Schizosaccharomyces pombe: one gene and its partner. Changing the gene in region 1 together with any one later gene gives a genetic interaction. Each region holds a gene or a part of one and is shown on either strand. Other genes may lie near its edges.

The links.
Region 2: mutations in dis32 (region 1) and exo2 are lethal when combined (synthetic lethality), as found in Schizosaccharomyces pombe (one study listed by BioGRID).

What each region holds. Positions count from the first base shown.
Region 1 is NC_003424.3:4,270,204-4,275,855, reverse strand, and holds dis32 (3'-5'-exoribonuclease Dis32), read left to right. Parts: upstream 1-1,726; 5' UTR 1,727-1,775; coding exon 1,776-4,559; 3' UTR 4,560-4,964; downstream 4,965-5,652. Other genes in the region: SPOM_SPAC2C4.08 (uncharacterized protein), read right to left, coding at 1-685; rcm1 (rRNA methyltransferase), read left to right, coding at 4,985-5,120, 5,182-5,240, 5,302-5,652. UniProt on the Schizosaccharomyces pombe protein: 3'-5'-exoribonuclease that specifically recognizes RNAs polyuridylated at their 3' end and mediates their degradation.
Region 2 is NC_003424.3:1,776,307-1,783,240, forward strand, and holds exo2 (exonuclease II Exo2), read left to right. Parts: upstream 1-2,183; 5' UTR 2,184-2,242; coding exon 2,243-2,257; exon of another isoform or gene 2,258-2,295; coding exon 2,296-2,363; exon of another isoform or gene 2,364-2,403; intron 2,404-2,413; coding exon 2,414-6,317; 3' UTR 6,318-6,434; downstream 6,435-6,934. Other genes in the region: UBA/TPR/DNAJ domain protein Ucp7, read left to right, coding at 1-45; fol2 (GTP cyclohydrolase), read left to right, coding at 194-302, 356-651, 763-1,065; gus1 (glutamate-tRNA ligase), read right to left, coding at 6,629-6,934. UniProt on the Schizosaccharomyces pombe protein: Multifunctional protein that exhibits several independent functions at different levels of the cellular processes. 5'-3' exonuclease component of the nonsense-mediated mRNA decay (NMD) which is a highly conserved mRNA degradation pathway, an RNA surveillance system whose role is to identify and rid cells of mRNA with premature termination codons and thus prevents accumulation of potentially harmful truncated proteins.

The DNA of each region.
Region 1 (5,652 bases):
CTGAGGTATACCTCGCATCGTTGCCGGCATTGTGAAGACAAAAAGCTCGGATGTTCAAGTGAGTGAGCATTTTAGCAAGAGAGATGTTGTTGGAATTTGAAATTTCTTTGAGGAATAAACTTTGAAAGAATGAGAAAACGTTCTGCGTATCAAGAACCGTGACATCCTTTGGAATAGGTATTCCAAGGACGTTTGCATACTTTATTTCGTTTTCCACTCCGTGTCCTACTAGATGTAGATTTGGTGTTTTCAAAATTTTTTTCAGAATACTTATAAACGCAATTTTTGTCACAATCTTGGAGTCACCAAATTGAAAGTTATCGGCTTCATCTGGAACAAATCGACCGTTGCGTAGATGTAGAAAATTCTTAATCCTGTAGTGGTGGTAGTCCCATTCTCCATTAATTCTCATCGTAATCCCAGCCTCAGTTATGATTTTCTGGTTGAATTCATATGCCTCAAAATCAATTACCAAAAAGTTACAACTTGGGTTGGAAACGGCTTGAAATGCTACAAGAGCTTCACCTTTGGCTCTAATTAATTTCTTTTCAGCTCTTTGAATTGCTGCACGTCGCTTCCGCTCTTTCCTTTCTGCTTTAACTTCTTCTGGCGTCAACTTGTAACGAATCCGTTTTTGCTCATGCCGAGAAACATTTACAGCTTTTTTTGCTTGCAATCTGTTCATCTCAGAGATAGATCTTAAAATAAACGGAAAGGGGAATTCGTATGAAAGCAAGTACTAGTGATAACTTAGAAGAGGTAAACAAGTAGCTTCTAACTTCTCTAGCAATGGCATGTGTAATTTCAAAGTATATACTAGCAAATAATCCCAAATCCTTATGTTGCAAAAAATAATTATCGTTAATTTACTATGATTACTTTTTCAATTTATAAATGGATTTTGTTTTGTTAAATATCAATTATTCTTTGTTTACAATCAGAAAGTGTGTTTAAAATATATATTCCACTGTCAAATATCTTCGTTCAGTCATTTCCATCTATTCAAAAATTACAAATATAAGACATATTTCAAATTACCTGAAAAAGGCTTCAATTTTTAAAGCTACGTGATTTTTTACATCAAAAAATATTATTGAATTTAACAGGTGACTCTATCACGGATTTCACTTTGTTAAACAGCTTTTAGGAGGTTAGCATTTGTTAAAAAAAATTTTATTTTATTTTATTTTTTTTTTATTTCTTATTAATTGACTGAAGAAATACTCCGTCTCTTAATTTGATTATGAAATTTTTTTTTATTTTTGGGTATGGTTTCTTTTTTTTCTTTAATTGCAATTACAAAAGTAATTAAAATTATGTTAGTCTTTATGACTTCTCAATTGCCATCCTTTAATAAATAGATTAGTATCAACTTTTGAACGAATCTAATATTACAATTGCAAGTTTAGATCGATTTACTAAGCTCTTTCAGTACGATACAAAAAAACAAAAAAGGAAGCAAGAAGTATACTAAAAACCATACACTTGCAGATATTTGGTTGAGGAAGATAGAAAGCTATGTTTTTTGGATGTATAGTTTATACGCCCTTTATCAATTTTGAAACTGTAGCTTAGTATAGAATGAAGTAGTGTAGATATTTGAGCGAACGTCAAGACTATCAATTTTATTGATTTCCATGAATGGTTTAGAATTTTGCATTTAGTATAAATTATTTCATTTATTTTGTTGCCCCTAATATATCTCCTAGTTGCGCTCAGTGAATTTAACAATTGCATGCCTTAACTCTACTACCACCTCCATATTTTCACAAAGTATGGATTTAAAACCAAATATTAGAAGAAAGGAAAAGCGAAATTTATTAAAGGGAGAAGCTGCTTTAGAAAAAAAAGGCTCTATTGATAGAAAGACAAAAAATAAAGCATATCCGTCTACTACTCACGATCCTCATCAAAATGATGATTCCAACATTCCTGGATTAGGAAGTGGACTATTGGAAAGGATCAAAGATATTGTTCAAAGGCCAACAGATACCCAATTAAAAGGTCAAGATTCGAACCATAAGAAAGCCAGCTTGACTGAAACGAAGACCGAGAAAGCCAAGGTTAAACCGAAGGCAAAGAAGAAAAACTCGAAGGAAAAAATCTCTAAAAGTTCTAAGCAGGATGAACATAAAACCGACGTGCATAAAGAAAGTGTCTCGAAACTTTCCAAGAATTTGGAGTCCAGAAATAATCGAGATGAAAATTCCGCGAAACGAGAAAAAAACAATTCTCATCAAGTTGAAGCAGATACGAATAACGCCACTGAGATGGTATCATCCAATGCGAAAAAGTCAGTATACCCGTTGTACTACGACTCTGCAACGGTTAAAAAAGGATTAAAAAGTGGTACATTATTTAAAGGAACGCTTCGTATTCTTGAAAATCATCGTAGCGCTTTTGCTTGTATGGAAGATATACCTGATTTTTATGTTGATGGGCCAATTGCTAGAAATCGTGCTTTTCACAACGACGTTGTAATTGTGGAACCTGTGATGAATAATGACAGCCCCACTGAAAAATCGAATTTTTTACAGAATGGTGTCGAGAAAGTCAAAATAAAAGATCATGACGATGAGTTAGGTGGAGCAATGGAGCATTTGGAAAGATTAGAAATTAAAAGTGTTGCAAGCTTCAAAGGTGATAGCAGAACGAGAGCTCGTGTTGTCGCCATTGAGAAGAGAGCGGAAATTTCTAAAATTGTAGGGATTTTAAGAGCACCAGGTTGGTCATTAAAAAATGTAGAATATGTTTCCAAAAAATCCTCGTACGCGATTTTCATTCCAAAAGATAAACGTCTGCCCTTTATCACAATTCACAAAAATGATTTAAGCGATTTAAGTGGTGAAAATTGGATTGAAAATATTTTGAAACACCACGATCAGTTGTTTTCAGTTGAGATTACAAGGTGGAGTATTTACTCTCGTTACCCTATGGGTGTATTAGGTGAAAAGCTGGGAAATATTACTGACGTGGAGGCTTACACTAATGCGCTTTTGCTAGAAAATGGAATTAGTAGCTCTCCCTTCTCTGATGAGGTTTTAAACTGCTTGCCTCCTGATGATTGGATTATCTCACATGAGGAAATAAAAAAACGAAGAGATTTAAGAAATGAGTTAATTATTACCATTGATCCTGAAACAGCTCGTGACTTGGATGATGCTGTTTCCTGTCGCGCTCTTGACAATGGCACTTATGAAGTGGGTGTCCACATCGCTGATGTTACTCATTTTGTAAAACCAGATTCAGCATTGGACAAAGAGGCAGCTTCGCGGGCTACAACAGTATACCTTGTGCAAAAGGCTATTCCGATGCTTCCTCCTCTGTTGTGTGAACGACTTTGTTCATTAAATCCCAACGTTGAGCGTCTTGCATTTAGCGTTTTTTGGAAACTCGACTCCAATGGTAAGGAAATTGGTAAGCGTTGGTTTGGCAAAACAGTTATAAAGACATGTGCCAGACTTGCCTACAGTGAGGCTCAAGGTGTGATCGAAGGAAAGTCCTGGGATGATGCTGTAGGCAAACCGATAGGAGGTACGCATACTCCAAAAGATGTTGAAACGTCTATATTAACACTTTGCGAAATTTCGAGAAAGCTTCGCAAAGATCGATTTGCTAAGGGCGCTGTAGAGATTAACTCGACAGAACTCAAATTCCAATTAGATGAATATGGAATGCCGAATAAATGCGAGGTATATGAGCAAACCGATGCAAATCATCTCATCGAAGAGTTTATGCTTCTCGCCAATAGATCTGTTGCTGAACATATCAGTAAAAATTTCTCCAATAATTCCTTGCTTCGTCGCCATGCAAGTCCTAAAGAGAAACAAATTAATGAGTTTTGTCACTTTCTAAAAAGCATGAACTTCGATTTCGATGCATCGTCTTCAGCTGCATTTAATGCCTCTATGGTACGACTCAGAAGCACTTTTAATGAAGAATTGGTAGAATTATTTGAAAATATGGCAGTTCGCTCGTTAAATCGTGCTGAATACTTTTGTACTGGCGATTTCGGTGAGAAAACAGACTGGCACCATTACGCTCTTTCATTTAATCATTATACCCATTTTACTTCTCCGATTAGAAGATACCCTGACATTATTGTTCATCGTTTATTGGAACGTAGCCTTAAGAACACATCCCCGGGTATTGACAAAAAAAATTGTTCGTTAGTGGCTGCACATTGTAATGAAAAGAAGGAGAAATCCACCACTGTGCAAGAAGATAGCCAGCAACTCTTTTTGTCTGTATATATTGCTGAGTATTGCAAAAAGCATGATAAGAAATCTATGCCAGTTCAAGCATTTGCGACTAGAATATCTGGAAATTCTATTGATGTCTATATCTCTGAATATGGAATATCCAACAGAGTAGACCTCAGTTCAGATGATAGAATTAAAAGTTTTATAGTTGCTCCCGATGACTCCTCTGTTAAAATTACGTTGTTTGATGATTCTCAAAAGACTATAGCTCTTACGGATCGTTTCCAAGTTTATTTATATTCTGATTACAGTCGTACATTTTTCAGTATTCGCTGTAGTCTAGTTTCTTTGAATTAAAGGCCTAGTGTTGTTTATGAATTTTTGACTGAAATATAACTTTGTTAATTTTGGGTCAGATTACCTTTTATTTATGATGCATGCCACCTATTGAATGGTTGTTCACGTTTATCCTACACATTTTAAAACGCTTATTATTATTACTATTATGTTTCATGGATTATGACAATTGAATGACTTTGTTATGCCCAGACGACTTATGTTTGATATATTTTTCTCATTCGTGAGAGAAACACAATTAAAATAAAAAATTTAACATCAATAAGAAATTTCTTTAGTTAACAAATTCACTTTGGCTGCAATTGTTGAATATTTTATTTATACCTATACATACAAGTAACAATAGACATTGTGACCTGAGTAAGGTACTCAGTTTTGTGCAGCAGCTTTTCCACTACTCATACCGAGGAGGATCTTGCCTCGATATGGATTTTTATAATCATGCTGCCAACATACTTTCAGATTTAAGTAAAAAAAAAGGATCAATTAAGCAATTAGCATTTAATTCAAAAAAACATGATCCAAAACGCACTTATGCTTTGGTTTGCGAAACTCTCAAATGTAAACAAGAATAGTAAAACTTTAATATAAACGATTTGACTAACTTTCTTCTTTTATATAGATAAACCTGTTTTGGATGAAATAATTGCGCGATCCGAGTTATTAGTTTTAGAGAAAAAGGTACAAATTAATGAAACGATAGTTGTTTCGTAATTTTTTGAAGCTAACCTGGTTATTGTAGTTAAAAGAAAATTTGGCTAGAGTCCTTGTCCATGATTTACTGATGTCAAAGCGAGGGTTATCCATTTCAAATGGTCCTATCAAGGAATGCATTCTTCGTCACAAGACACGCCTGAACGCCGAGTTTGTCAAACTCAAGGTGAAAAAAGGGGTTAAGAGCCATGAGGAGCTGGCATTGAAAAATCCTGTGTCGCTCCCTCGCTGGCTTCGAATAAATACCATTAAAAGCACAAAAGACGAGGTTTTGCAAGGTTTAGGCTTGGATAAAGTCAGTTCAATTGAGGAACTGGGCCCCGACAAATTTTATATTGATGATTGTGTTGAAAACTTAATAGCCATCGATCCATCATTT
Region 2 (6,934 bases), 2.5 Mb from region 1:
CTTAATCATGCCTGGGAACTTTTTAAACAGCAAAACGATCTTTAATTACAAATAGTGAGACTTTGGTTCTGCGCTACACTCTCTTGCATGAACCAAGATGTGTGACAGTATTTTTGTCGGTTAGCGTAAAACATTTGCAGCGGTTTACTTATCCATTGCAATCTTAATTTCATTTATTAAAAATTTATTTCTCATGGAGCCTGGAAAAAAGGATTATATAGATTCTCCTTTGAGGATGCAACCAGCCTCACTTTCTGGCGCATCTACACCAACTATTGATTTAGACGGGCTTTCTTGGCCTTGTAAGTAATGAAAGCATATTTTATACTCATTTAAGTATTCTAATACCAATTAGGTCAAGGAACACAACGTAGAATAGATACTGCTGAGGAAGAAAAAGTAAAAAAAATTTCCAATGCTATTTCAACAATTTTGGAATGTTTGGGAGAAGATCCTGAGAGACAAGGCCTTTTGGGAACACCTGAGAGGTATGCCAAGGCAATGCTTTACTTTACCAAAGGATACGAGCAAAATTTGACCGAAGTGATCAATGAGGCAGTATTTCAAGAAGATCACGAAGAAATGGTCATTGTTAGAGATATTGATGTATTCAGTTTGTGCGAGCATCATTTGGTTCCTTTTATTGGAAAAGTAGGTTTCATTTAGAAGTGGATTTTATCCATTGCATTCACGTGATTGGGCTATGCAATTATGTTTAACCCTCTTTCACAAACTCAGCGTATTAAACTAACATTATTGTAGATTCATATTGGTTATATTCCTCGTAAGCGTGTATTGGGACTTTCAAAGCTCGCACGTATAGCCAATATGTTTTCGCGTCGCCTACAGGTGCAGGAGCGTCTTACCAAACAAGTTGCCCAAGCTATTCAAGCTGTCTTAAAACCTCAGGGAGTTGCAGTCGTTATGGAAGCTACTCATATGTGCATGGTTATGCGCGGTGTTGAAAAACCGGGTAGCAGTACTGTTACTAGTAGTCTTACTGGTATATTTCAGAGAAGCCATAAAACTAGGGAGGAGTTTTTTAGATTGATTGGAAAATTTTAATTTTGGTTTTATTTTGTTCGTTAATCGCTAGAGGTGATACCGTCCGTAAATTCCTATTACAACTAAATGGTATTATATTTTTATTTTTTTTTGCATTCCAGTTTTTGAGTTGTTAAAACAATCACTTTTTTAAATATATCAATCCTTGCATATGTTTATTTATGCATACGATTTAGCAACCAAAGATTTTAAAAGCAGTCGAAAGTTCTCTCTCTATTACTCTTTAAAAATATGAATGCCCTTCTTCAGTTGTTTTTCACGAATTTTTTTTTTTTTTTTTTTGATATCTTAGTATTATGAGAAGAAATTCGAACACATGGTCGTTTTTCATATGGCTTATTTTATTTTCTTGAAAATTGACCGGAGCTATTTCACTCCACCTTACTATTATTAGCCTCAACGTGCTAAGGAAGACGTTATCCTAATGGAAAACTACTATTTAAGTTTTCTTTTTGAACGTTGTTTCGAATCACTTTTTTGGTTACATGGTAAATTAGTCCATGTTATTATATACATATATGAAGTTTCAACAATTTTATTAATTATTTACTAAGTTTTGCTGTGTAAGACTTTCAATTTGCAAGAGCTCAATTAATAGTTTATCATCAAATATATTATGAATGAATAATCTTTGTACCGTAATCGATAAGTATTGCAAGCAACTTACAGTGATTGTATTGATATACCCTAGACACATTATTATAAAGGTAAATGTCTCGTTAATTATAAAATTTGCCAATGTTTTTTAATCATCTACTACTGCTGCAGTTTCAATTAGTCGAAACGTATTTCTTGATAAATGTGTTTGATTTGTTTTTCAAACAACTAAACTCCTTCCTTCGCCTCAATGTTTAAGAACTTGCTCTATTTTAGACTCAGCTAGTCTCAAAGACTAACTATTTTGCCATTTGTATTTTTGTTGAAAAAAATGATAATATGATAATATCTTTACTCACAATGATATCGTTAAAAAGGCTTCTGTTAGTATGATATTAAATCAAAGAGGATCTACACATTTTCAATATTTCATGTACTATATAACTAACTCCTTAAACTTCACTAACCTGGGGCCTATCGATACGTGCAAGCACCGCATATGTTGACATTTGTTCTCTACTAACAACAATACTTTCTAAATTTATTCCTATTTAACTGTTAATGAGAAAGTTCGTTCAGTATGGGAATTCCAAAGGTTGTTATCGATATTTTGTATAAGTTTTTAACAATTAGTTTTTTCGATGGATGAGCGAAAGGTATCCGCTGTGCAGTCAGCTGATTGAAAACGATCGCATTCCCGAGTATGTCAATTTAAATCATCGTTTGAAACGTATGGAGCTAATTGAAATAGATTTGATAATCTTTATCTAGATATGAATGGTATTCTTCATAACTGTACGCATAAGAATGATGATCATTCCTCACCACCACTTCCAGAAGAGGAAATGTATATAGCCATTTTTAATTATATTGAGCATTTATTTGAAAAAATTAAACCCAAAAAGCTTCTATATATGGCAGTAGATGGATGTGCCCCACGTGCGAAAATGAATCAACAGCGCAGTCGCCGATTCAGAACTGCTAAAGATGCCCACGATGCGCGTTTAAAAGCAGAACGTAATGGGGAGGATTTTCCCGAGGAGCAATTTGACAGTAACTGTATAACGCCAGGTACAACTTTTATGGAGAGGGTTTCACGACAGTTATACTATTTTATTCACAAAAAAGTTACGAACGATTCCCAGTGGCAGAACATTGAGGTTATTTTCTCTGGCCACGATTGCCCCGGTGAGGGTGAGCATAAAATTATGGAATATATTCGAACCCAAAAGGCTCAACCTAGCTATAATCCTAACACTCGCCATTGCCTTTATGGTTTGGATGCTGATTTAATTATGCTAGGTCTTTTATCTCATGATCCACATTTTTGTCTATTACGTGAGGAGGTTACTTTTGGTCCGGCAAGTAGAAACCGTTCTAAGGAATTGGCTCACCAAAAATTTTATTTATTGCATTTAAGTTTATTAAGAGAATATCTTGAATTTGAATTTCAAGAATGCCGATCTACATTCACTTTTAAGTATGATCTCGAAAAAATCCTTGACGACTTTATTCTTTTAGCTTTTTTTGTCGGAAATGACTTCCTTCCCCATTTGCCTGGGCTTCATATTAATGAGGGTGCGTTAGCTTTGATGTTTAGTATATACAAAAAAGTTATGCCTTCTGCTGGGGGATATATTAATGAAAAGGGAGTAATCAATATGGCTAGATTGGAACTTATACTCCTCGAACTTGAGAATTTTGAGAAAGAGATATTTAAAGCTGAAGTTTCTGAGACAAAAAACAATGGGAACTCTGACAAACCATCTTTTGACTTTCTCAAATATATTACTGAATCAACAAATGATATTAAAGCCATGACAGGGGAGCAGAAAAATTATTTCTTACAGATTAAAAAGTTTTTGTCTTCTCGTGAGCCGTTCATTGATTTTAGTGCAAACATTTCTTCTGTTGATCAGCGCTTTCTACGACGTTTATGTAATGATCTTCATCTGTCATTTTCCAAAATTATAAAGGTAGACGGCACTCATCTATTAAGGATTACATTTAGAGATCTTGAATTTAATGATGAAGACGAAGATGAAATTGAGCAGGACGAAATCGAACGTGTACTTCAAAAGTATGATAACATTCCTTTGCTTAACGAAGAACAAGCTTTAAAAGAAAAAAACGTCGAAAAAGATTTTATCCAATGGAAGGATGATTATTATCGAAGCAAGGTTGGTTTTAGTTATTATGATGAAGAAGCTTTAAAAGCAATGGCTGAACGTTATGTTGAAGGTTTACAATGGGTACTTTTCTATTATTACCGTGGATGTCAGTCTTGGGGTTGGTATTACAACTACCATTTTGCACCAAAGATTTCAGATGTTTTAAAGGGCCTTGATGTAAAGATTGATTTCAAAATGGGTACACCCTTCCGTCCTTTTGAGCAGCTCATGGCCGTTTTGCCTGCAAGAAGTCAGGCATTAGTACCCCCTTGTTTCCGCGATTTAATGGTTAACAGCGAATCTCCAATTATTGATTTTTATCCAGAAAATTTTGCTTTGGATCAAAATGGAAAAACAGCTAGTTGGGAAGCTGTGGTTATAATTCCTTTTATTGACGAAACCCGTCTTATAGACGCACTAGCATCCAAGGATAAATTTTTGACTGAAGAGGAACGAAAAAGAAATTCCTTCAATGCCCCAACGGTCTTCTCTTTAGCGGAGGATTATACATCGTTTTATCCTTCTTCATTACCTTCACTTTTTCCGGATTTGGTTACCCGCTGTATTCAAAAACCTTACTCTCTACCTTCGATGGAAGGTAAAGAATATTTGGTTGGTCTTTGCCCTGGCGTTTTCTTAGGTGCTTTTGGAATGGTGGGTTTTCCTTCCTTTCACACTTTGAAGCATAAAGCAGAATTAGTGTATCATGGTATCAATGTTTTTGGTAATGAAAGCAGGAATCCCTCCGTAATCGTCAATGTTGAAGACGTCAAATCTGCTTTAACGTCGGAACAAATTGCGATGCAATATGTCGGAAAACGAATTTTTGTAGACTGGCCTTATTTACGTGAAGCATATGTGGAGAGTGCTATGGACGAAAGTTACATGTATTTAGCTTCAAACAGTACCATTGAGAAAAGGGATTTGGCAGAAATTGAAAAAAGCCAATGGGGCCGTAAATGTTCCCATAAAATTAGAGAATATAGTAAACGATTTGGCGTTCTTTTTGGTGATATTTCCTTATTGCTTCAAGTACGTCCTATCAAAGGATTGGAGTATACCAGAGAAGGTGCTCTTGTTAAGATTTTTAACGAATCTGTCCTTGAGGATTATCCAGCCCAATTAGTGGTCGAAAAGATTGCTATAGATGATCCAAGATTTACCGAGAGAGAAGCTCCGCCAGTAGAGGTGGAATATCCTCCAGGAACGAAGGCTTTTCATCTCGGAGAGTATAATTATGGGCGACCTGCACAAATTACAGGATGCAAGGACAACAAGCTCATTATTTGGTTATCAACCGCCCCTGGGTTGGATGCCCAATGGGGTCGTGTTCTTGTTAACGATAGCAAGTCAAAAGAGAAATATTATCCTTCTTATATCGTTGCGAAGTTGCTTAACATACATCCGCTACTTTTAAGTAAAATAACATCTAGCTTCTTAATTAGCAATGGTACTAAAAGAGAAAATATTGGATTAAATTTAAAATTTGATGCCAGAAATCAAAAAGTGTTAGGATTTTCCCGGAAAAGCACTAAAGGTTGGGAATTCTCGAACAAAACCGTTGCCCTTGTTAAAGAGTACATAAATACGTTCCCTCAATTATTTAATATTTTAACAACACATGCTACCAAGGATAATTTAACGGTCAAGGATTGCTTCCCTAAAGATGATACCCAACAATTGGCTGCGGTCAAACATTGGATCAAAGAGAAAGGGATTAACTCTCTTACTAGAGTATCTTTAGATGAAGATGCTTTAGACTCGGACATTATAAAGCTAATTGAGGAAAAAGCAAGCACAATTGATTCTACCTATCAGGTTCCGAAGAAAGTTTTTGGCGTCCCTCGGTATGCCTTATTAAAACCTTCACAAACACGTGGAATTTTGCATAGTCAAGAATTTGCTTTAGGCGATCGTGTTGTTTATGTTCAGGACTCTGGTAAAGTTCCAATTGCAGCATACGGAACTGTCGTGGGTATTATGTTGCATCATTTGGATGTCGTCTTTGACTTGCCTTTTATGAGCGGAACTACTCTAGATGGAAGGTGTTCGCCATATCATGGTATGCAAGTTGAAGTTTCAATGGTTTTAAACGTTACAAATCCTCAGTTCGTTGTAAATACCCGTGCCGGAAAGAATAGAAAAACCAATGTTAGTGCAAATAATGTTTCTCAAGGTACTGACTCTCGTTTGGTAACGAAACCCACTTCAACTTTTCCATCACCTCCATCCCCTCCATCTTCTAGTGTTTGGAACAAAAGAGAGCATCATCCAAAGCCTTTTTCACTACATCAAGTCCCTCCCCCTGAATCATTAATCCATAAATCGAAGAGTAAGTTTAGCAAAGGTAACCACCACTCTACCAATGGTACACAATCTATCCGCGGTAGGGGTGGAAAACGTGGTAAACCCTTAAGGTCGAAAGAACTCAATCGCAAGCACGATCACATCGTTCAGCCGATGGGCAAACTTCAGATTAACTAGCCCAATTGTATTTTAGTGGTGTGATAATAAATTTTATTAGCATAGAATTCTTTAACTTTATAGAAGGTTTTAAGACAACATTATGATATGAATGAAATTTATGTGCAAATATTTTAGTAGACTTCTATACTTTAAATCTGTAGTAAGAGAAATTTCGGTTTGAACGGTTAAACTTATAAATATTTAGTATTCGGAGTTTAGTCTCAGATACAATCAACCAAACACGACTTTACAAATCATATGGAAGAAAAATATTATAAAAACAATAGAGGTAACAAAATTTATATTACGACTGGATAATATGCTCGATTCTAATTTTTAACGCCGTAACGATTTACAGTCTTACCGTCTGGAATGTTGAAGAGAACAGCCTGCGTACCATCAAATGGAACATCAACAATGTAATAACCTTTACGCTCAACTTGAATTATATCACCCTTCTTTAAATTCTTGATTCCAACGTCAGCAAAGACGGGAGAGTGGAATTCAGTTTGAGGAGTTAGGAAGTCCTTATAGTTTTCTCCTTCTTCAAGTTTGTCCTTGGTAATAAGATAGTCAAAATCAACAAGGTCGACAGGAGTTTTGTCCTCCGTATCAGCCAACCAAGTGACTTTCTT